Diceros bicornis minor: one gene and its partners. The protein of the gene in region 2 purifies or fractionates together with the protein of the main gene of each other region. This does not show direct contact. Links are inferred from orthologs where the notes say so. Each region holds a gene or a part of one and is shown on either strand. Other genes may lie near its edges.

Evidence for each region.
Region 1: the proteins of FAM53C (region 2) and DYRK1A purify together in Homo sapiens (affinity purification with mass spectrometry; 8 studies listed by BioGRID and IntAct, counting the BioPlex papers as one, with this or other methods). This does not show direct contact. The link is inferred for Diceros bicornis minor from reciprocal best matches to the Homo sapiens genes FAM53C and DYRK1A.
Region 3: the proteins of FAM53C (region 2) and DYRK1B purify together in Homo sapiens (affinity purification with mass spectrometry; 3 studies listed by BioGRID and IntAct, counting the BioPlex papers as one, with this or other methods). This does not show direct contact. The link is inferred for Diceros bicornis minor from reciprocal best matches to the Homo sapiens genes FAM53C and DYRK1B.

The regions. Positions count from the first base shown.
Region 1 is NC_080766.1:37,535,373-37,543,319, reverse strand, and holds the start of DYRK1A (dual specificity tyrosine-phosphorylation-regulated kinase 1A), read right to left. Parts: upstream 3,109-7,947; 5' UTR 3,033-3,108; intron 1-3,032. UniProt on the Homo sapiens protein: Dual-specificity kinase which possesses both serine/threonine and tyrosine kinase activities. Exhibits a substrate preference for proline at position P+1 and arginine at position P-3.
Region 2 is NC_080740.1:56,906,790-56,915,122, forward strand, and holds the start of FAM53C (protein FAM53C), read left to right. Parts: upstream 1-5,017; 5' UTR 5,018-5,075; intron 5,076-5,460; exon of another isoform or gene 5,461-7,989; 5' UTR 7,990-8,141; coding exon 8,142-8,219; intron 8,220-8,333.
Region 3 is NC_080773.1:13,603,299-13,610,819, reverse strand, and holds the start of DYRK1B (dual specificity tyrosine-phosphorylation-regulated kinase 1B), read left to right. Parts: upstream 1-4,356; 5' UTR 4,357-4,515; coding exon 4,516-4,594; intron 4,595-5,871; coding exon 5,872-6,035; intron 6,036-7,052; coding exon 7,053-7,172; intron 7,173-7,269; coding exon 7,270-7,458; intron 7,459-7,521. Other genes in the region: FBL (rRNA 2'-O-methyltransferase fibrillarin), read left to right, coding at 891-1,023, 2,060-2,172, 3,018-3,163, 3,291-3,315.

The DNA of each region.
Region 1 (7,947 bases), on a different chromosome or scaffold from region 2:
TAAAATTTTGGGAGAGAAGAGCCAAGTTCGTTATTAAAACTTTCTGGAAGTTTTTGGGGTTTGCTGGCTTCAGACGGTTAAGGTTTTTCCTTGAGGAATAAAAGAGAAATTGCTTGGGGGTGTGAGTGTGGATCTAAGAAATGTGAAAGTTCTTTAAAATAAAACAAAACCTAATGCTAAAGCAAAGAAAAACTGACACACACCTAATCATAAATACCAAGAAAGTCACAAATGAAGCCATCTCTCCTATTAATCTTATTTTTAATGTCACGTATAAGGCAATTCTCTTCTCACTCATAATTAAGTTACTTCTATCCAAATTTTCTTCCCATAACTAAATTCTCGCCAACCATAAACATGCATGTGAAAACATCCCTGGGCAGTCTAAATTTCTACGCTATTTTTTATTTAAAAAAAAAAAACTTGTTTTCAAGTAGTAGCCAAGATTCAATACAAATTAGCATTTTCTTTTTTTGTAGTTTCAAAATAAAATACACGCCAAAGGTCATTCTATATTATGTGTTATAACAAGTTATCCTGAATTTTGCTTTTGCAGATAAATATTCATAGCACTATAAAAACCTATGTAAACTCCCTAAATACCATTTGGTGCACTTACCACTCCACACCCCCATATCTTTAAGTCACAAACACAGTAACTCTCCATAAATAAAACTAAGGGGCAGACGTCAGATAATATCCTAGAGGAGAAAAAAATTCTAACCAAGGGTCTTTTTCACTATCCACATTCCCAAACCAGACATTGTATTAAAATGGGATATTTTCATTTAATTCGAATGTTAGTGACCCTAAAAGACTGGACTAACTCGTTCATTTTTGAATCCTCAGCACACAGTAATTCTGTATGTTTGTTAAGTTTCTAATAGGTCCCACCAAAATATCTTTAAAATATGTTTAAGAAATGATCTTATACCCCAATTCCGAATTCCTAACAATAACAAAGATCTCACTAGATCACGTAGTCTCTCCCACCCCTACCAATAATGATCATTCATTCATTCAAGCCTGTTTGTTCAAATCTAAAATCTTTTTTAGATTTTAAAGGAGTGTGCCTTCACCTTACAGACACGGGGGTGACCCTACCTTCTAGAATAATTAACTTCTGAGCCTACGTCTCTTATCAACTGTTTATAGTCAGTTTTACAATACAACTTTGTGTAGACATTGACAGGAGTCCTTAACTTTGGCAAAATTTGAAGTTTAGACGAATCTGGACAGCCACCATAAACACCACTATTTCAAGGCAAATCCTCCAAAAACACTGGGGGTACCTGAAGTCTAAGTCATACGTATATTAAACATCTTAACTATAATCAAGTAAACTTTTGTCTTAACTGCTGCTTCTTTGAAACTATCTTCTTCGGTTTAAAATCTTAGCACATGAAATTTTAGTTCTAGTCTCATGTTTATAGTCTATCTGAACATAATATTCTCTCAAAGTAACTAAACCACCAAGATATGAGAAATATAACAAAAAAGCTAAAGGTAATTCCACTGAATTATTAAAATGTCACGAAATGGAAACTATTAAATATACCCATTCTTAAGCACTTTGCATATGTAAAGTATGTAAAGAAGAAATCTAAGTATTCAAAGACAAAAATGACTAATAATAACTTTACGCAAAACTTTCTTATGACTCATCAATACTTAAATGACGCCTATAATTAAAATTAAGTGTGAAGAACAAAACGCACCAAAGAATATTTTTTAATTCCTTCCATTCAAAAACTGTCTCCCTAGTTGGGGGGTGGGGGGGCTGACAAGTTTCATTAAGAGGGCCTCATCTCAATCTTTCCTTTCCACTTCCAAAAACCACAAAGTTAATCCCACGCTAACCACTATACATGGACACAATCTCTAGGTTACAACCCTGAGTCATTACGCACAGATCACTCCAAAATCCGCCAGTATTTATAATGAGTTATAACCTAGTGATTAAGAGGCCAGGCTGACTGCAGACTCCTGGCTCCTGGAGTCCCAGCTGTATGACCTTGGATGAGTCACAGCTCAGTTTTCCCATCTGTACAATGGGTAACAATTCCTACCGGTAGTATGAGCGAGTTAATACACTTGAAGCCCTGAGAACGAGTGCCTGGCATTCTTCGTCCTCATCTCCAAATCGGTGTGAAAACAATGCTATAAGGTGTATTTTCTGACAACTTGGGCGGAATTCAAGAACCAAATGGTGCTGGCATTTAAGTGCCGCACCTAGATTACAAATTTCCTATCATCTAGGGCCGGACGAAAGGCAGAGACAAGTACTTGGAGTCACTCACTCACTAACCGTGCCATTTTTAACTATTGCAGCCTAGGGAGGGGCCTCTCTCTAAGCGAGAGTGGGCTTGTGCCTGTAAAGAGACTCGTCAAGTTTCGTGGCAATATCCAGGTATCCATTATAATTTACGCATTCCCAGCCACCAACTCCTCCGGCTGCTAAAGAGGTCATGCCTCCCTCCCGAGCGGCCGGGCTGCCTCGCACTCGCGGCACAACTTCGGAGCACGCCGAGGGCCCTCGCCCCAGCACACAGCCCAAGGGCCGCGGGGGGACCGGGCTCGCGACCTTCCCCGGCGCCTGGCCCAGCGGCCGGCCCCATTTTCTTAGCCCGTGCATTGTCCTTGCGGAGAACCCCGGCGGTTCCCACACTGGTGGGGACCGAGAGGAGGGACGAGGGAGGAGCTGGGGGAAGAGGATGAGGAGGAAGAGGAGGAGGAGGAGGAAGACAACCTCCTCCCCTCGGCTCGGGCGACCAGTGAAGGTCTGGCGCTCTCTCCGGCCCCCAGGCCCCCGCTCCCACCCTCCGAACTTTCCCTCCGCTTGCACCCGCCTCTCCTCCGGGACCGGGCCCGGCGGGCTCCCTCCCCGGCGGCCGGCCCCGGGCCGCGGCGCCTCCTCCTAAAATGGCAGGTCCCTCCCTCCGCCCGGCCAGCCTCGGCGCGGGCCCGGCTGCAGGCCGCGGGGGGAGCCGAGCGCCGGGCCGGGCGGGGCCGCGGCCGGGCCGGACACTCACCGGGACGATGGCGGGGCGCTCGCGCCGCTCCCTCCGGTGAGTCTCAGCCTCGGGCTCCCGCCGCTGCGCTCCGCCGCGGCCTCCGCAGCCAGCGCCGCCCCGGCCGCCTCTCTCCGCCCCCGGCGCTCCCGGCTCGGCGGCCGCGCCGCAGCCTCCTCAGTCTCTCTCCGGCTCGCGGTTCCAGCGGCGCCCGGGGCCGGGGAGGCGACAGCCCCCTCCCCGGCAAATACCGCAGTCCCCGGACCCCGACTCCCGGCGGCGGGGCCGCGCGGCCCGGCCCGGCGCGGAGGGCGGCGGCGACGAGGCCGGGCGCCGAGTGGCGGCCGCTCCCGGCGGCTTCTTCCCGAGGAGGATTTTGTAAATCTCACAAAATGGCGCGCGCTCCAAACCTGCGCAGCGAGAAGCGCCGGGGCCCGAGCGGCGGCGGCGGCGGCGGCGGCTCCTCCGCCAGGAGAGCCCGAACCGCCCGCCCCCGAGTCCCCGCACAGACAGACAGACACTCACACACACACACACACACACGCACACTCGCCCGCGCACACGCTCACTCACACACACACTCGCACACTCACACCGGTCCCGCCCGCTCGCCGGCGGCGGCAGCGGCACCAACAGCAGCAGCAGGAACAGCAGCAGCAGAAGCGGCGGCGGCGGCGGCGGCGGCGCCCGCACCCCCCGCTCGGGGTGTCCGCTCCCTAAGCCCGACCTGGGCTGCGATCAGCAGCAGCGACGGCAGCAGTCTCCCCGGATCCCCCCGCCGCTCTTGCCGCCGCCACCCCCGCCTCACTCCAATGGGGCTTTTTATTATTATTCGGGCGGGAAGCGAAAGGGTTTAAAAAAAAACCAACCAACAAAATGGCGACGGACCGACCCGGTCGCTATAGCAACTGTCAATCAAAACGCAAAACCCCGGCTGACGTGCTGACGTCCTCCTCCCGCCCCCCCGGCCCCAAGCCGGCGGGCGGGGCCTGTTGCTCGGGCAACGGCAGATTCCGTTCCCTCCTTTCCCTCTCCCTCTGCGTCCCCGACCAACCACCCAACCCCCTCAGGTCACGTGAAGGATAAATTCGGAGCTCGGGCCCGCTACGAGTGTCAGAGGAGGGCGCGTGATTCGCTCGGGGGAGGGGAGAGGAGGGGGCCGGCCGGGCCGAGGGAAGGAAGGCGAAGGGGAAGGGGGGCGAGGCGCCTGCCCGGCCTGTGCGCGAGCGCCCGCGGCCGCCCGGCCGCGCCCCGCCCCGCGCCCGCCGCGCCCGCGCGCGCGCCGACTGCGGCCCGGGGAGCGCGCGCGGCCTCCGCGCCGTCGCCCCCGGAGCCCCGCGCTTCCGCGTTGTGCGCCCGCAGCCCCGCCCGCGCCGGGGGGAGGGGGCCCCGGGCGGCCCACCCCGCGCGCCCGGGCCGGGGGCGCTCACCTTGCTCCCTGGGGAGCGCGCTGGCCGGGGTCAGGCGGCCTGGCTGCGCACGTCCGCGCGTCTGAACTGTTCTTCGAAGGGCTCGCGTGCCCCCCTCGCCGGAAAATGCCCACGGAGGCCGCGGCTGGGGGTGGGGAAGCGGCCGCCTCCGCGTTTCAGACATCTCAGGAATTCCGGACGCTTCGCCCGAATCCGGGATGCCCCTGCGGCTGACACCTTGGCTAAATCATGCCGCTCGGTTTTCGTAGCAACCAATGCCAGCGTTCAGAAATCATGGACGGAGCCATCATGAAAACTTTTTAGGCTGTGCACGCTCTCCCAGGCTCTCCCAGCTATTTCAAACCCTTCCCCACCTTTCTGGGCGCAGCCTGCCTTCTCCATCGGAATGCCCCTGAAATTAATCCTCTTGAGCGGTTACTGTATCCTTGTCCAACTCCCTGTTTTTCTGTTTTTCTTTTTCATGCACCATCTCAGCTTCCAGATTCTTAATTCGCCCATTCTGGCTTTCGTTTATTTGTATTCAGTCTACCCCTTCTGCCTGGCTGAATATTGCTAGGTGTGTTCCCCAGGCATTAAAACCTAGGGATGCTAGTAGCCATGCAGTGCTGGCTACTTTGTAATGAGCGGACAGCCACTGGAAAAATTGTGTTTTGTACCTATGCTAATAAAATGGACTTTAATAAATGTTACGCTAAAAAGGATATATAGAGATATCATTTTACAGCAAGTCACTGATTGATTTCTAACCTTGATTTTGCCATCTTATGATAGTGTTCATATCAATTTTTTCTTTAGCTTGAGCTGTTCACAAATACAGTAGCAACAGATACAATCTTAGGTGTAGAGAAAAACACCACCATAACAAATACAGGTCTCTATCGTATGTTACTCAAGGAAAGACACGGCTTTAAATGATTTCCAACCAATGTTTCCCTCCTACAGTTATTAGAACATTGACATACCAAGGCAACCATTCAGACTAGCACAGGTCTTGAAAGAAATCAGAGTAAATCTAAAGTAAATTATGCAAAAAGTAGACTGGCAAATAGCTTAATTCTGACTGATTCTACGTGGTATCAAAAGTTGCCCTGTCAGAAGTTCTTTTGGATTTCTGCTTCAAAATTGCCCTGCTAAGGTAAAGTCTACATTCAACTTGATTGTTTCGAAGGAGGTGGCCAAGGGTGTCCCTACTGAGGTGAGAGATCTCTACCTTGATTCCTCCCAAGCTCGCTTCCACCTATGCAACCAACTCGTTCCTCCCTCCCGCTTCCCTCCTCCCTGCTCCCCGCCCCCACCCCATTCACCACACTTTCACTTCTATCAGATCAATTAAGGATTTGCAACCTTTAAGACTAAAATAAATTTGAGTCAAATTTTTGGTGGTGATAAGGAAACTGGCATAATTAATCTTCTAGGTAACCTGCAAAGAATATGACAATGTCTCAAGAAATGTACCCTTGTCTTCAGTCAAATCAGTCTAGAAGATTATCAGGGTGAGGCAGAATCTCCAGCTTGTAATCATGAAATAATAGAAGACATTGATCATATCTAGAAGGTTGCCCCCTTCCCTCCCAACTCCAACCCCCCACCCCCAGTGTGACAGCCTTACACAACATTGATCAATGAACTGTCATGTCCAGGTTGGAATGCTGTAAAATAGTTTTATCTAGGCTTCACCTAAAAAGTAACCTGTAAATTACGCTGCTCCAAACAAGTAAACACATGTAGGCAGGAAGGACTCTGGTACAGATGCCAGTTTAGTGTTGACAGGATTCAGTGATTAAATCCTTGCTGTCATCTGAGAATCTCCCTATCAGATCACTGACAGATGTGTTACAGATGTATCTATTGATAGAAGTTAACCTCTAAGAGCAAAGACCTGCCCAACTCACAGATAATAACAGCCTCCGCTTATCCAGTACATTCTAGCAACAGTATATACCCATTATACAGATGAGAAAACAAGTCCTGAGTAATTACTTTCCCAAGGTCACACCACTAGTAAGTGGTGAAGCCAAGATTCAAACCCGAGTGTAATTGCAAAGCCCATATTCTTTCCGCCACACCAAGATGATCTGGGATTATTTGGAAATAGAGTCTTTACAGGGATAATCAAGATGAGGACATTAGAGTGAGCCCTAATCCAATATAATTGGCATTTCCTTTTAAAAAGGAGAAATTTGGACACAGAGACAGACATTCACGCACGGAAGACTGTGAAGACACAGAGAGAACGCCATCTACAAGCCAAGGAACAGCTGAGGCTGCCAGAAGCTGGGAGAGAGGTTTGGAGCAGATTCTCCCTCACAGCCGTCAGAGGGAATCAACCTCACCGACACCTTGATTTTGGACCTCTGGCCTCCAGAACTGGGAGACAATACATTTCTGTTGTTGAAGCCACCTGGTTTGTGGTACTTTGTTATGGCAGCCCTGGCAGACTAACACACAGATCCAAGCCAAGATTCCAAGCCAAGCCAGGTTCTTTTCATTGGTTCCACATCTGTTCATGGCCACTCTTCGTGGTGTGCTATACTAAGCCCAAAAGTTCACTAGTTGGAACCTGGCTGGGAGTTATAACCCAAACATTCCAAGAACTAACCAAACATTCCACCAACCAATATCTCTGCCCTTCACATCAGGTGAGAAGGTGAACAATTTACAATTCATCCCTGGACAGTGACGTGGCTAGAATCTGACACCCTCACTCTTCTTACAGACTTCAGAGTAAAGGTCCTTGATTGCTCCCCTTGTATAAGCTTTATTGTTTGTTCTGGTTTTAATAGTAATTCATGTTTATCAAATTCAAAAGAAACAATAAATTAAAACAAGAGAGGGGCCTTGTTAAAACTGGCAATGGTAGCATGCTATGAATCAAGAAGTTAATACTCAGTTCTCTGCACCTGAGATCCAAAAACAAAATAAAAGTAATTTATGGTCATTACAAACAGTTTTACAATGTGGAAAGCAATAAAGAAGTAAAGATTATTCATAGGTATCACCCAGAGATAAACCTTATTAATATCTTCATATTCACATATATTCTTCTAGACCTTCTTAGACATGAGCACACGCACACACACACACAACACATATAGGTATGTTTTATGCCTTTTTTACTTACAATTGTGTTATGAACACATTTTTGTGTTAATCAACTAAAATTTAGATGATTATTCTAACAGCTACAAGTATTCCATCAGCTGAATGAGCCATAATTCAACTGCTTCTCCATTTTTCAAGGAAGTTTTCCTCTTTTTTTTTTTTGTTATTACAAGTAAAGCTACATAAATATCACATGTACACATTTTACACACCTGTCGTTATTTCCTTAGGATAAGGGCGTGCACCCTTAAAAAGCTTTGATTCATGTTGCCAAAATATCCCTCAGAAATGATTTCACCAATTTACGCTCCTAAAAGTAGTATGCGCAGGGCTGGCCCCATGGCCTAGTGGCTAAGTTTGGCATGCTCTGCTTCAGCAGCCCTAGTTCCGTTCCCAGGCACAGA
Region 2 (8,333 bases):
CCTCTTTTTGCTGAGGAAGATTGGTCCTGGGCTACACATCCATGCCCATCTTCCTCTACTTTATCTGGGATGCCGCCATAGCATGGCTGGACAAGCGGTGAGTCGGTGCGCGCCCAGGATCCGAACCTGCGAAACTTTGGGCCACCGAAGAAGAGCGCACGCACTTAACCGCTGCGCAACCAAGCCAGCCCCGGAGATTTGCTTTTAAATGATCCCATGGAAGTGGTGGTGGGGATAGATGAAACAAAATTGGCCATGAATATTGAGTGATGGGTAACTGAGGGGTCCATTATATCAGTGCTCTCAAAGTTTAATGTCCATACTAATCCCTTGGGGATCTTGTTAAAATGCAGGTTCTGATTCAGTAGGTCTGGGTTGCTGCCCAAGATTTTACGCTTCTAACAAGCTCCCAGCTGCTGCTGATGCAGCTGGTCCTGGGACCATACTTTGAGTAGCAAGGCATTATACTATTCTCTTTACTTCTCTGTATATTTGAAATTTTCTGTAATAAAAAATGTTTAAAATAACCTTGGAAGCTCTTTAAAATGCAGACCCTCAAAATTATGATTCAACGGGTCTAGAGTGGGGCCTAGGAATTATCAAGGCCCCCAGGGGCTACTCATGCAGATGGCTTGCAGATCAAATTTTAAGAAACAAATTAGAAGTGCAACCTTTATCTTTGAGAAACAGAAAATCAGAAATACAACCTTTATTTGGTGTCAGGATCTTGGTGGTGGTAGTGGCTGAGAGGTGCAGTGTAGTCAGCTGGGTTTTACCCTTTTCATCTGTGGAATTTGCTTCCTGAGAAAGAAGGGGTGTGAAGAATCTTTGTCCTCTGGGATAGAGATGGTGAATGTGGGAATCAGCACAGATCCCTGCCATGCCAGGTGAGTTCGAAAATCAGGCTGGGGATTAAGGGAGTGTGGGATGAGTTGGCTTCTGTTTTGATGATTATAATCACACTCCATGGGGTCACTGTATACTTCCTTGCAGGTGGGAGGTAGAGACAGATGAAATCGTCCTACAACGGCGGCAAAAGCAGATAGATTATGGCAAGTGGACACCTGGTTACCAGTGCTTTCTGCAGCAGGTCCTCAAGTGAGTGCAGTTGTGAGTGGTCACAACAAGAGCATCAACCAAGCAGCTTTGGTTCAATGTCAGGTGATGGAAAGATACTAGAATCTGAGTGCTCTCACAAAGTTGCAGCATTACTAATACGAATTATCCTGCTGGGCCGGCCGTGTGGCTTAGCGGTTAAGTGTACACGCTCCACTACTGGCAGCCCAGGTTCGGGTCCCGGGCGCGCACCGACGCACCGCTTCTCCGGCCATGCTGAGGCCACGTGCCACATACAGCAACTAGAAGGATGTGCAACTATGACATACAACTATCTACTGGGGCTATGGGGAAAAAAAGGAGGAGGATTGGCAATAGATGTTAGCTCAGAGCTGGTCTTCCTTAGCAAAAAGAGGAGGATTAGCATGGATGCTAGCTTAGGGCTGATCTTCCTCACAAAAAAATAATAAAACTAATTCTCCTGCAATTTAGCCCCCAAAATAAGTTTCCAAGATTTTTTCAAATAGAAGAAGCCATATACTTGGCCCTTAAGACTTTTTAAAGCTTTATCCATGTTTGCTAATGAAGTTTTTTCCTTCTAACCATTTTTATCTCACGCCGCCAGCTGACTTGGCTAACTGCAACATATTTGCCTAATTACATGTAAGTTTACATGCATACCTTCAAACTAAATATATGAAAAGGTAGAATGCATTTTAAAGGGATATCAAATACTGTCTTATATATCTATCTTGACTTCTGAGGGAGTTGGAATATCTAATTTATCCTTCCCAGAAGAAAGAATATTAGGGAATTAGGAAGTTTGGTGTTTAATATGATCTGAAGATTTGGTTTTTCTGTTGGATTGATGGCATTGATCCTACCTCATTCTCAAGGAATTCCCTAACGAGTCTCCTGATTCATTGTGATGAAGCAGTGTGTTGTGCCCCTTCACCTTGACCTCAGTCTAACACATATTTGTCATTGCCAGAGCACAGTGACAGCCAGGACTTCACCCTCAAATGCCAAACAAGAACAGGAGGTACAGCTGTTGCTCTTGGGATGCCCAGATCAGGCAGTGGAGAAGAGCCCTACATTCCTGGGACCCCCCTAGCCAGCCTCTGCAGGGAGGGAGGCTGAGGGGTGTGTGCATTATTCCTGGTTCCTTCTGTGAGTGGTGGACTGAGCCCTACCTCTCCCCACTTTGCAGACGTTTAGCTTTCACTGGTTGAAAAGGGAGTCTGAAGGAGGTGTGTGTTCCTCTGACTCTGCTGCCTTCCTAGGCAGGGAATGGAGAGTCTCTTAAATGGATTTCACTCCTTTGGATGACCTCCTGGATGACTGGCTTCAGACTCTGGAACCCTCAGAGAATCTTGATGGAGACCAGAAGGGAGCCCAGGTAGTGTCCTCTGCTGAAACCCATTGGAGCAGCATCAGAGCGGGGTCTGGCCCATGAGGACACAATTAAGATGTGGTTCAAGGTAGTAGCCCAAGGGCCGGCCCCACGGCTTAGCGGTTAAGTGCGTGCGCTCCGCTGCTGGCGGCCCGGGTTCGGATCCCGGGCGTGCACTGACACACCACTTCTCTGGCCATGCTGAGGCTGCGTCCCACATACAGCAACTAGAAGGATGTGCAGCTATGACATACAACTATCTACTGGGGCTTTGCGGGGGGGGGGGGGGGAAGGTAGTAGCCCAAGAACAAAAGAAGGAAAATGGGGCAGCAGGAACAAATAGCTAGGACATGAGTAAGAAAAGCCTTGAGAACTAAAAGTGGCATAAGGAGATTTAATTATAGTTAGTAATGGGGAGGAGGTTGGGCTGCACTGGGGGCTATTTTATACTTGGTGAAAGGGGTGTAATCTTCCTTTGAAATGAGGCCTGAAACCTGACTTGCAGGTTTGGTTAAGTGTCTCAGTTTCTTTCAATGTTTTGCAAATAAGCCAATGCTAACTTCTTATACTCAATCATTTAACTTTAGTAGGCATGGTTAATAATAAAAAGGGGGATCACCTTGCAGTGAAGACCAACAGCTTTAGAGCCTGACTGCTGTTTTTTTTTTAATTTATTTTATTGATGTCTTAATAGTTTATACCTGTGAAATTTTGGTTGTATATTTTTGTTTGTTGATCACCATATACATGTCTCCCTTCACCCCTTGTGCCCACCCCCTACTCCCATTGCCCCTGGTAACCACAATACAGTTTTCTCTGTCCATGTGTTGGTTTATATTCCACATATGAGTGAGATCATACGGTGTTTGTCTTTCAGAGCCTCAGACTGCTTTTTAATACTACCTTTGTCCACCACATGGGCAGTCACTTAACCTCTCCAGCTATTTCATCTGTCAAATAAGGAGATTTTGTCTCATTTGATGATTCTAAGCAAAAATGAGCATATATATTTAAAGTATGTAGCACGGTGCCTGGCACATAAATGCTCCACAACAGCAGTTATTGGAAGCCATGTCTCCTGTACTTCATGCCCCCCCCCCCCTCCTTCTTTTGCTAAAGGGCAATGTGCAGGGCAAAGAAATGTGCAGTGCATCTTCCCTCCATCCCCATTTTCTTCATAACTACCTCACTTTCCCTCTACTCTTCTTTTTCAGTTTGCAGACTTGGTGGCTCCTGGCTCTGTGAGGAAGATTCCCACCACTGGCTCTACTTTCTAGCTGATCAGTTACTTATCTGTACCAGACTTGAAAGGGGAACAAAATATTTAGGGAAAACAGATGTCTTTCAGGGGACTTGTTGCTAAGTGTAATAGTGAAGATTACTTGCATTACTGCTACTTTCCAAACGATTAAAAAAGAAATCTAAAACTCTGCCCTACAAAGAGATCACAACACGAAGGCATTGTTTAAAACCTCTCCTTTTTCCATCTTTTTGCCCGTCTTTCTAAACCTTCTTTGATAGCTGAGACTCAAGTTTACATAAGAGCCAGAAACCATCTAGCTGTTCCCCAACCTGTTCACCTACTAACTTCTTCAGTCTCTTCAAAAAGGACTTAAACTCTGGCTGAGGTGGGAGGTGATGGTAGTAGTGGAGATTTAATAAAAGGTGGTTTCTTCTTCCTGAAGAGGAAATATAGGGCCATCAACATCTTTTCCCCATCTGCCTGTTTCATCCCTCCCTTTCTGTCTTAACGAAAGAGGTCCAGCTGTAACCACCGTATTCCTCCCGCCCCGCCCCCCCACGCAAGCAACTGAACCGCCTATGATGTCATAATCACAATCCCATTACCTCATCCTGCTGGGCAGGGGGGTTGGGGTGCGTAGAGGGAGGAGGAGTGAACAGCCCTGGGCCCTCCTCAGCTTTACAAAGTGTTTTGGGTGAAGGCTAATTACAGAACCCAGTGGGAAAGGCCCCGCAACCGTTATGAATCCTGCGTTTATAAGGTTCCAGCCGATCCGGCAGCTAGAAGACGGGCTCCTGGGACTCTGAGCAGGCCTTAATGGGCGCTTGGACTACACTTCCCAGAAGCCTTCACGCCGCGGACAGGTCCTCTGCTAGGGGTAGGGGGATTCCTTTAGAGAGGCGGCCGTACAGGGTGGGACAGGAGAGCAGTGAGAGGAACCTTGGCTAATTCTATCATGCTACCCGAACCGAGCAGGGGGCTGTACTTTGGCCCACGTAGGAATGGAGGGCGGGGGCGATGGCTTTGTTTACCTTCGTCCGACACGGCTCCCCCCGCGGGTTTCGAGACATGTCTCCAACTGGGCCCGTCCACCTTCTGCAATATTTTGGAGGGGGTGACTCGATAGTGAGGAAACCACCCTCGTCCCTAAATCAAAGAGCTGGGCTTGTTCCCCACAGCGCTATCCAAGAAAGACTTTGAGACAGAAACGACGCGGGGCTCGAGCCTCCGCGGGCGGTTCGGGGGGATTCTGTGTACCGGAGAGACTGCCTCACTCTCCTGAGGGGCCCGTTGGTTCGCGCCAGCGCCTTTTAAGGGCACCGTGGGGCGAACGGAGCGCTCAGAGCTGCTCTGGCCGCGGCCCTGGGAGCTGGAGGAGCCGCGGTAGGTGGCGGAGGGCAGGTGGCGCTGGGGCCTCGGGGCGGGCACCTCAACCGTCCCTCCCTCCTTCCCCCTTTCCCCTCCCCCAGCCCGGCCGCCCGCGCGGCACGGCCTCGCAGGCCGCCTCCGCGGGGAGAGCACGGGACCCGGTGGGGGAGGGGGTGGCGGAGTGCTAAGTCCCGGACCCTCTTCATCGCCGGCGTCCTGAGTTCGCTTCCCGCGGCCAGATGATGAAAGCTGATTGGGAAGAGGCGAGCGACAGCCTCATTGAGCGAGCCCTAGCCCGCCCCCCCCCCCCCGCCCCAGGGGCCAGCGGACGCCCCATGCCCCACCCCGCGGGGACAGGCAGGGCAGCCGAGGGTGAGGTTGAAGATTGGAGGGGGGCCTAGCCTTTTGCTTCTTCATCGAGATGGGGGGAGGGAGTGCTCCCCACTTGTCACCCCTATCCCGGCCAGAGCCATATGGAGGAAGAGCAGTCAGGTCCCCACTTACCTGTTCCTGCACCTCCCTGCCTCCCTCATGTTTTCCTTAAGTCTCCCCCAGAGGTGTGGGGCTGGGACCTGCGGGGAATGTCCCCAGGGGATTTGTGACTCTCCTCCCCCTTGGCCTGACTTGATCCTAGGTTCTCCAGCTTTCAGCACAGCCTCAGCATCCCTAAAACCCGAATGTCAGGAGTTACTGCCATCCAATAGGATATGGGGTGGGAGCCCAATATTTATTTTAGGGGGCTAATGGTGGAGAGAAAACCTGGATTGAAAGTTGGGCCTGGTGGGGTTTTGGGGAGGGCCTAGCGGCCTGCTGCTCTATGAAGGGCTGAGCCCGGTGCCAGTTGTTGAGCTGAGAAGTTTTAACTTTTTAGTGAATGTTCAGGGCCGTTTCTGCCCCTCAGATATACAAAATGGAAGGGGAAGGAAGGCGGCAAGAGAGGGCTTCTTACACTTTTTTCTATGCTTGCCTGAGAAAGAGGAGGCCCCTCGCGGAGCTGGTTTGCCTTCTTTTGTGTCCTGGTTTGATTCCTTATGGCTTCCGTTCTGTTCCCCCTCTCAGCCTGGCCTGTTTTAGGAAACTCAGGCTGAGAGTATGAGTTGTGTGGTGGTAGTTGTATTGTTCCAGTTACCACCGTGTGTGGCCACATCCCAACAATTAAAATGCAGAAAAATACAAAATCACTCTCTTCACTTGATCCCAGAGAGAGCTGGGAGTTTGCTGTTTGGCCAAATGCCTCATGAACAGCTTGAAAGAATTTGCTTCACTCCCTGCTCATGGCTGGTCAGCCTGAGGCCTAGGGTCTCCGGGGTAAAAGCCTGCAGTTAGGTTCCCTCTCTGGTTGCTCTTTGAGGGCAGAGTTAAGAAACCAAGAGCAGAAGTGATATAAGGTTTAGCTTCTCCCACAGGGACATAGGGGAAGCAGTTGAAGGGAGCTCTCAGGAAGCTGGAACTTGGTTCAGGGTGGTAATAATAATTATGCGTGACAATGGTAGTTAACTGTAATGATGATTGACTTTTCTCACACCTTTTTTCAAAAAAACTCCAAGTACCTCCACGTGTATTTCTTTGCTCTTCCTTATGGCCTGCCTCCCCATGAGGTGGGAATGGGGCAGAGATGATCCCTCCTTTTTGCAAAAGTAGAAAGTGATCTGCCCCCAAGGTCACAGAAGAGCCTTTTTGGGTCTCTCTTGGTATGCAGATCAGGGAGGTGGGCATCTAGCCAAATAGATAAACTTGGACTGCCTTCTTCATCTTAATGATAGCATCACTTGTGGCATTCTGAGGCTTTGTAGAGCAACAAACAGGAGGGTTGAGAAATGGCAGTTTGTGTGGACTCCTGATTTGTACAGATCAGATGGTATGCTTTTTACATTTTGATATTTTATGTTTTATTGTCCCTGTGACAGATTATTCTGCCCATTCTACATATGGGTAAACAGGTCAAGAAAGGTTAAATGATTTGACAAAACTGTCACAGCAAATCCGATCAAGATTTAGGTTTCTTGATAGATTGTTCTCTCTACTAGCAAATGCTACATACACTCTCTGGTGAGCTGTCTGCTTGCTGATCATTGCCAATTTCTGGGAATTGGCAATACTATATCGAAACACTAGGTTAACCTCTCCTCCTCCCTTGAGCATGGCCCCTCAAGCAATTGTGTGGGCTTGAAGCCTGTTCTCTGATAGAAGTAGTTTGCTTCTACTGTAATTGACTGTGAGAAAGAGTCTTGATTAATTGTATCCATGGTCTTTGAGTCAGATCAGGCTAAAAACTTAGTTGAGTGAAGTCATAGAGTTGTTTTTAACATCTATGGAGTTGAAATGTAACTGGAATTACCCTGGTACCATTTCCTTATCCTCTCACCATTTTTAAGAGAATATATACAGTATCTCTTGAAAACAATAATATATCAACTGTTCAGGCTAACAGAGAACATAAAACCTTGTTTACTCTGATTGGTCTGAAGCTGAAAGTCATTCCTACAACCACTGCTCCTCCCTGTTCCCTATTACTATTTCTGTAGTTTAGGAAAAAGGTACCTCTGTTTGCTTGTGCCTGGAAGATAAAGACAATATTGGGCTAATCAGGATAGAAGTAACCATTTGGGCATCCCTCTCTCTCATTTGAGCTGTTTTTGAAGTGCTGGTATTCTGGGTAGACAGAGCAGAGCATGAACCAGGTTAGGAGCAGCAAATAGGTTTCAACTTGCTTGCCAACTCCAGTTCATTTTAGTGGTTATCTGGAGTGCCAAGTTCAGAATGTTTCTGAAGCTATGTTTAGGCTTAGCAGGAGAGAGCTGTGATCAATTAATGATGTCTGCCGGAGGCCTGGCATAGGGATGCTGTGGTATGTATGCCATGCATTTTCCATCTCTGGACCAGGTACATCTCTAATATCACTTGGGGCTGGTCCCTCTGTAATTGGCAGACTCAGCAGGCATGACTGGAGAGGGAAGTCCCAATGGTGCTAGAATGGTGCTGCAGTGGCAGAAGACGGCTCACGAGTGAGGTCTGGAAGAACGACAGGGAAGACATCCATCATTTGCTCCAAAGTGTGCAAGTCAAATCCTGGGGAGAATCATGATAACCCTGATCACTGAGCAGCTACAGAAGCAGACTCTGGATGAGCTGAAATGCACACGCTTCAGCATCAGTCTGGTAAAAGACCAGTCTTTCTGCTTCTCCACAAACCCCCCCCCTTGTTTTCTGAGGCTGTATGTTGCTAATGCTTCACCCTTGTCCTGTGCTGTATGAGTCATGGTACTTGTATTG
Region 3 (7,521 bases), on a different chromosome or scaffold from region 2:
CTGGTGGTGCCGTAGGAGGCAGGGAAAGGCCCAGGCTGCTTCCTGCACTCTGTGGCTTGGAGCCAGGCCCTTCCCTCTCAGAGGGCCTGTGAGTAAAAGGAGCAGCTTGAACCACATGGTCTCCACAGCCTCATTCAGCATCACTCCTGAGTTCTTGGCCCGGAGGGAAGGGCTTTGGGCATCCAGGTGACTATGTTAGAGGGGCCCAGAGCTGAGAGTACAGATACCAGACTCTTTGTTTTGGTTGCCCTCTTTAAAAATGTATGCCCCTAAAATCTGGTCTCCTGGTTTCTCCTGAAAGAACAGGAGGTCTCAGTTTCTGGACCTGCATTTCTGTGTGGCTATACCGGTTCCCTATTTAGAGGGCCCCCGTGGGTCTCAACTTCATGACCCCCAGCTCATCTACATACCTATAGGCTGTGTAATTTAGTGGTGAAAAACCCCAGGCTCTGGGGCAGGCATTTAATAGTGAAGTGGTTCTCAGCAAGTTACTTAACCTCTTTGGGCCTCAGTTTACCCCTCTGGAAAATAGGGTTATTGTGAAGCTAAAGGAGTTAACTCCCGTAAAGTGCTTAAAGCAGTGCCTGGCCCACTGCAGATATTCTTAGCTGTTAGATTTCATCTCTGTGCCCTAGCTTCCTGGTATTAAGCCTGTATTGGGGCCTGGGCTCTCCGATCAGGCAAAGTGGAATTGAATAACCCTTGGCCAGTGACTTCACATCTCTGGACCTTGGTGTATTCATCTGAAAAATGGACATAACAATAGTTGTTAAATGGTAGGACTTTGATTTGGAGATTTGGAGAGATGCTGCGTGCAGTGAATGGGCCCAAAGTAGGTGCTCGATACATGAGAACTGGTATCATTGATGTTATTATTTGATGTATTTTAGGACGGTCTGGTCTATGCAGTTGAGTTCTCCCACCGCTCCGGCCGTGACCTCATTAACTTGGCCAAGAAGAGGACCAACATTATTCCTGTCATTGAAGACGCTCGGCACCCGCACAAATACCGCATGCTCATCGGTGAGGGGTCCAGGGGTTGGCCCAGGTAGGGTAGGACAGGCCACTCCAGGTTTCCTGGAAGAGGCCGCCAGAGCCCTGAATCAGATGGAGCTGAGTGGATGAGCAGGCCTCTTGCATCTGCAGCGGTGCAAAGGGTAGGGGAGCCAGCTGAGTTTGTGGAGGTGGTGGTCCCAGTTCAGGGTCTCAGATGTCTGACGGCTAGCCTCCTTCCCTCCAATCTCCTGCCCCTCTCCCTAGCCCCCCGTACTTCCTGGTACTGGTGCTTTTTACACTGGCTTATGTAGAAAAGCCTTCTTCAGAGGTCCTCCTCATCACCTGGAGAGAGCATAACCCAGGAAGCACAAACTGAGGCCCGGAGGGGCCCACTGTGAATATTAATGACTTTGTTTTTTAAGAAATTCAAAAGCATAATGTAAAAATGGAAGGCCTTATAAACTACCCCCAAAGGTAACTGATAACAATTTGATGTCTGCTTTTCCCAGTTTTAAAAAAGTCAGTTTTCATTACATCATCTTTTCCTTTTTTTAAGTTATTATTTTTTTAAATCACACTGCCTTAAAAATGTTATGTTGTATTCTGCTGGTTTTTCTTTCTGTGCATTTTTTTTCCATGCACTCATACCATATCCTTTGTCCTACTACTTGTTTTCATTTGACAAACCTGCAGACACTCTTGCCTGTAAGTGCTCACCTTTACTTGCCTTTTTGATGACATGTCTGTCTCCCCCCCCAGACCCGGGAGCGTCTCGAGGGCAGGGTCCGGGTCTGACTCGTCTCTGTGTCCCCCACGCCCGGCCCGGGGCTGGCCACAGAGTAGGTGGCAACCATGATTTACAAGAGGAATGAATGAATGGTGTGACTGTGGGTTTTGGACCCATCTTGGAGGCACCGCGGAGGGAGGGGGATCAGTGGGGGTAAGTGAGACTGGAGGCAGGAGACTTTGCCAGAAACCTGCTGGTGATGGGGCGCAGGCCCCACGAGAGGAGCTGGGAAGATCCAGTGGATCTGGCTCTTAACTGCCGCTTCTTTCTCCCTAGCAATGGTGGATGTGATCTTTGCCGACGTGGCCCAGCCAGACCAGACCCGGATTGTAGCCCTGAATGCCCACACCTTCCTGCGTAATGGAGGACACTTTGTGATTTCCATTAAGGTGCGGGGGCTTGGAGGGGTCTAAGATGGGGTGCTAGTATCTTTCTCGCTCTCTAACTGGCAAGCAGCCAGTCACTACAAGGGGGTCTCCACCCCTCTTAATCCAGTCAGTCTGTTCCCAGCCTCTATCCCTACCCAGCTCCCTACAAGCCACCTCTGCCCCAAGTCAAATAGCACATGATGAAGAACATCTTCAAAACTAAAAATCTTTGGATTTAAAAATGCAATAGAATGTAGTGGTCACGTGAATGATCGCTGGGTCTGACCATCTGAGTTTGAATTCCAGCTTGAATTAAGTGACTTTGAGTAAGATACTTAACCTGTGTGCCTGTTTCTTCACTGGTAAAATAGAAATATTAGTCCTATCTCTTTTAGTGTTGATGTAAGGATTCAATTTATCAATATATATGAAGTGTTTAGAACAGACCCTGGTATAAAATAAATTCTAGGTCCATGCTAGGTGCATTTTAAAAAAGGTTTTATTTTGAAATACAGAGAAGTCGCCTGTGTATCCTTCAACCAGATTCTCACCATTTGTTGGCCTTTTGTGACATTTGTTTTTGTATTCTCAGCTGCATTGTTACTATTGTTAAAGAAGAGGAAGTAGACGAAAAAACTCCTCGGTGTAAAATTTAAACACTGGCTTGTAGATCCATAGGGCTCTGTTGAAGGCTTCCTATTTCCAAGTCCAAACCAAATTGAAAACTTCTCTAAGGAAGTCTTTCCCTACATTTCCAAAACCTGAGTTTCACTGAGTTGCCAATAAAAAGAAATACATCTGGTTTAAAAAGCACAGAACAGGGAAAACAGCCTTGCCACAGACTTCAGACCCTCTCTCCTCTGCAGGCCAACTGCATCGACTCCACCGCCTCGGCCGAGGCCGTGTTTGCCTCTGAGGTGAAGAAGATGCAGCAGGAGAACATGAAGCCCCAGGAGCAGCTGACCCTGGAGCCGTACGAGAGAGACCACGCCGTGGTCGTGGGTGTGTACAGGTGAGCAGGGGCCCGGGATCCACCAGGACAGACATCTCTGTCCCCGCTGGGGGAGCCGCACAGGTAGTGCTGGAGTGCCCCAAAGTGGTGACAGGCTCTGAATATCCTCGTCTCCTTCCTCTCGCAGGCCACCCCCCAAGGTGAAGAACTGAAGCCCAGCGCCATCGGGATTGCGAGATTGTGTTGCTACTGTTAATACGTGTGTTTTCTATTAAAAGACTCATCCGTCGCTCCTGTCTGCTGCTGATGGCTTGACGGCCTCTCAAGACAAGGCGCATGCGCCCTTGGTCAACTTGCGGAGTGGTGGGGTGGAGTGCGCCTCCGGTCACACAGCGCATGCTCCTTTCCTAGCGGCTTCCTGCGCAGCCGTAACCCGGCTGTCGGCGCTTGGGCGGGGTTGGTAGCTCACTGCGCATGTACAGCGGTAAGCGCCGCTGAGCGCAGGCGCGGTGTGTTGCCCTGGGTCACGTGAGAAGGACAGATGGGGGGGCTGGGGGCGGAGCCCGAGGCTGGGGGGGCCGGTTTGTTGTGGTCGCCATTTTGCTGGTTGCATTACTGGGTAATCGGGGCCCTGGCTCGCCGCGTCCGCCGGATACCTTCAGCCCGTGGGCAGGTCTGGGCTCGGGCTTCCCGAGCAGTTTGAGTCCCCTTGCCCGCGCCCTCAGGTAACGACGCGGCTGCGGGCGGGGCGGCACGCGCTCGCGGTGAGGGGGGGCAGTACGGGACCCGCCCTGCCCGCGTCGCTGCGAGACTCAGCACGAGGCCGAGGGAGGAGAGGAGGGGGGTGGCGGGCAGGTGCAGGCCGTGCCCGGCTATTCATAGTCGGATTCCTGGAAGGGGCCGAGCCCGAGGCAGCAGTCTTAGCAAGGAGGCCGGGAGGGGGTAGCGGGGCCCCGCTCCCGCCCTTTGTTTGGGCTCGGCACCGCCGGCCGCTTCGTCGTCGCCTAGCAACAGCTGCCCTGGGCTGTGATTGGCTGAGCTCTTGGCAGCAGCGACCAATGGCACGGTTGTTGCCATGGCAGGTGCGGACTGCCAAACTCAGCCCGGCCCCGCCCGCTGGGGCTCCGTGGGCCGGGGCGGGCCTCTAGGGTGGGGGGCGGGACGCCGGGGTCCCCAGGGGCGGGGCCGGCGGGGCGAGGGTTAACCCGCCCCTCCCCCGTCCACCTGCTTTCTCCTTCCCCCGCGTGCCCCGGGCTGACCCTCGTCCCCTCCTCTCCCCGCCCCCGGCGGCGGCGGCGGCTGCTGTTGTCACCCACCGGGCCGCCTGTCCCGCTTGCCCTCCCCGCCGCGGGGCTTGCCGGGCCGGCCGGGCCGGGACAGGCGGCCGTCTCCTCACCGCCGCCACCGCCGCCATGCTGGCCGCTCGCCCACCCCACTGGGGGCCCCACCGCGCCCCAGCCCCCCGTGGGCCCCGCGCCAGCCCTGACCCGGGTAGGGGGTGGGGGCTGGGAGAGATGGTCCTGGTGTGGGAGGGCCCCGGAGAAGAGGTTGTTTTGGTGGGGGAGCTCCGAGAGAGAGGAGGGGTCGTGGAGTGGCAAGGCTTGGCATAGGAGGAGGATTGACATGGGAGAAGTGGCAGATACTCTGGGAGGGGAGACCTCTATGTGATATTTGGGGAATTTGGCTATGGGGGCCTTCTAGGAATGGGCACAGTTGTGGATTGACCCTGGCGAAGAGAGGAGGGACTGGAGAAAGGGCCCTGGTAGGAATGTTGGGGGAGGGGGAGGGGAGTAGGGTCCAGTGTAGGGTTGAGAAGGCCGAGTACTCTAAACCCAGCGTGGGAAGAGACGCCTCCCCTTTGCTCCCATCTGGAGGAGTAGGTTTTGATTGGGAGGGGGACCTTGGAGTAATGTGGGGAAGAGCCCTGTTTGGGGAACTGGAATATGGTATGGGGAAACTACTTGAAGGGGTGGTCCCTGATGTGGGAGGAAATGATATAGGGAAGAGGTCTTGGCATGATATGGGGAGGGTCCCCTGGGAATGGTGTGCCCTGGTGGATGAGAGTGCCATAGGGGTGGGACTCCAATGTATAAGGGTTCTCAGATAACCTTGGTGTGGTCAGGAGATCCCTAAGGACCCTGCTGTGATTTTAGGAGCCTGCAGAGGACTCTGCTGTGGTTTGGAGGGGGCCCAGAGGACTCTCATGTGGTTTGGGGAGGATCCTAGAGTTCTCTGGATTGGGGTACCTACAGGGAAGGGTAGATCTTGGAGTGGGGGGACCTTGCTGTGACAGGAAATGAGATCCTGAGGTTCAGGGAGGACTGCAGGAGGGCAGCATCTTGTGTGAGGGGCCCTGGGAAGGGCTAGGAGTAGAAATGGGAAGAAAAGAGTGAGCCCTACTCCCTATACTGTCTGTGGTTTCTATCTTTTTCCTCTCTTCCTTCCCCTAATTGTTGGTATCTTTCTGTCCTTTCCTGTCATGACCCATATCCCTGCGTGGCTCCCAATCATTCCCTTCACATGTCCCCCTCTTTATGCCACTTACTTCATTTATCCGGTAATCATTTGTTGAGGGACTCCGCTGTGCCCCTCCCCCCCCGCCACTTCTCTCTGTCCCCTCTCTTCATTGCCACCTGTTGCTCTCTTGCACCCTTTTTCTCCTCCCTCTGTGCCCTGTCTTCTCTCTGATGTCCACCTCTTTCCCGCCTGGCACTGTCCCACACATCCCCTTGTTCTCTGTTGTTCCCCTGCCTCCCGCCTGCTCTCAGGTCTCAGCGGCGGTGGCAGCCGAGGTGCAGGATGCGAGAAGGCGCCCCCCGGCCGGGCTCCCGCTCCAGGCCTCACTCCCTTGCGGCCCTCTGAGCCCACCATGGCCATCCCACCGGGCCATGGTCCCTTCTCTGGCTTCCCGGGGCCCCAGGAGCACACGCAGGTACGCGGTCAGCTGGCTCCTCACCTGCCTGGGGTAGGGGGAGGATGGGAATAGAAGGGGGCCAAAAGATAATGTGGTTGCCCAGGACAGTCTCCTGGGGACATGACGGGCCCTAGGAGAGTGGGAGGTAATAGAGGAGTTGCTGGCAGAGTCAGGGTTTGGAGAGCCTGGGTTCAAATCCTCACATGGTGGTTAAACGACTTCGGTTCTCCATGCTTCAGTTTACTGTAAAATGGGACCAGTAACGATACCTCCCTCACAGGATTGTTGTGAGGATGAAATGAGCTAATGAAATGCCTGTCAAGTGCCAAGAACAGTGCCCGGCACTTAGTAGACACTCAATAAATGTTCACCAAGCAAAAAAAGTCCAGAGTGAAAGATCTGGAGAGCGTGAAAGTGGAGGAAGACTAGGCCTGCGGGGTCTTGGAGTCAGCAGAGCTTGAGGGTACAGGGTCAAGACCTTCAAGGGCAGAGACTGTTAAGGTTCTGATGTGTAGAGCCTGAAGTGGGATGGAGTGGGAGGTCCAGGGGGCTGGATGCAGATCCAAGACCCTTGGGGTGAAAAAACTGGCAAAGATGCACAGAGGAGGTGAGGGTGAGGGTTGGGAAGGCCCACAAGATGGGGGCCTCTCAAGATGGGATACCCAGAGTGGCCAGTCTCAGGCCAAAGGACTGGGAGGGGCAGAGCCCAGGTTTCCTATCTGATCTCTCCCACTGAGGTTCAGAAAGGAGTGAGGTGTGGGATGAAAGGTCAGGGGTGAAGAGTCCACCCTTCAGTCACTCAGCGAGTCTCTCATGGACACCCCCTGCGTGCCAGGCCCCGCGCCAGGCTCTAGAGCTGCGGCAAGAACAAGACGACGTCCCTGCCCCTGGGGAGTTGACATTCTGTGGGGTTGTGAGACAGTGACCAAGTAAACATGTGCGTGCTAATGATGAGCCAGCCACCCATGTAGTTCTCCCCCTTGAGGTGGGAGGCAAAGGCCTGTCCTCAGTGTCCACCCCCACCCCGCCCCCCAGGTATTGCCTGATGTGCGGCTGCTGCCGCGGAGGCTGCCCCTGGCCTTCCGGGACGCGACCTCGGCCCCGCTGCGCAAGCTCTCCGTGGACCTCATCAAGACCTACAAGCACATCAATGAGGTGGGCCGGGGGTGGGGGGCCCGGGCTGGGTGCTGCGGGGTCCTGGCTGCTGGCACGGTCACTCACCAGTCCTTATCTCGGCCCCCCTGCTGGGCAGGTATACTATGCGAAGAAGAAGCGGCGGGCCCAGCAGGCACCACCTCAGGACTCGAGCACCAAGAAGGAGAAGAAGGTCCTGAACCACGGTTATGACGACGACAACCATGACTACATCGTGCGCAGTGGCGAGCGCTGGCTGGAGCGCTATGAGATTGACTCCCTCATTGGCAAAGGCTCCTTCGGCCAGGTGCGGGAGGCCCCACCCCACCCTGATCCAGGGACTAGGGGGCACGGGCACCCACTGGCATTG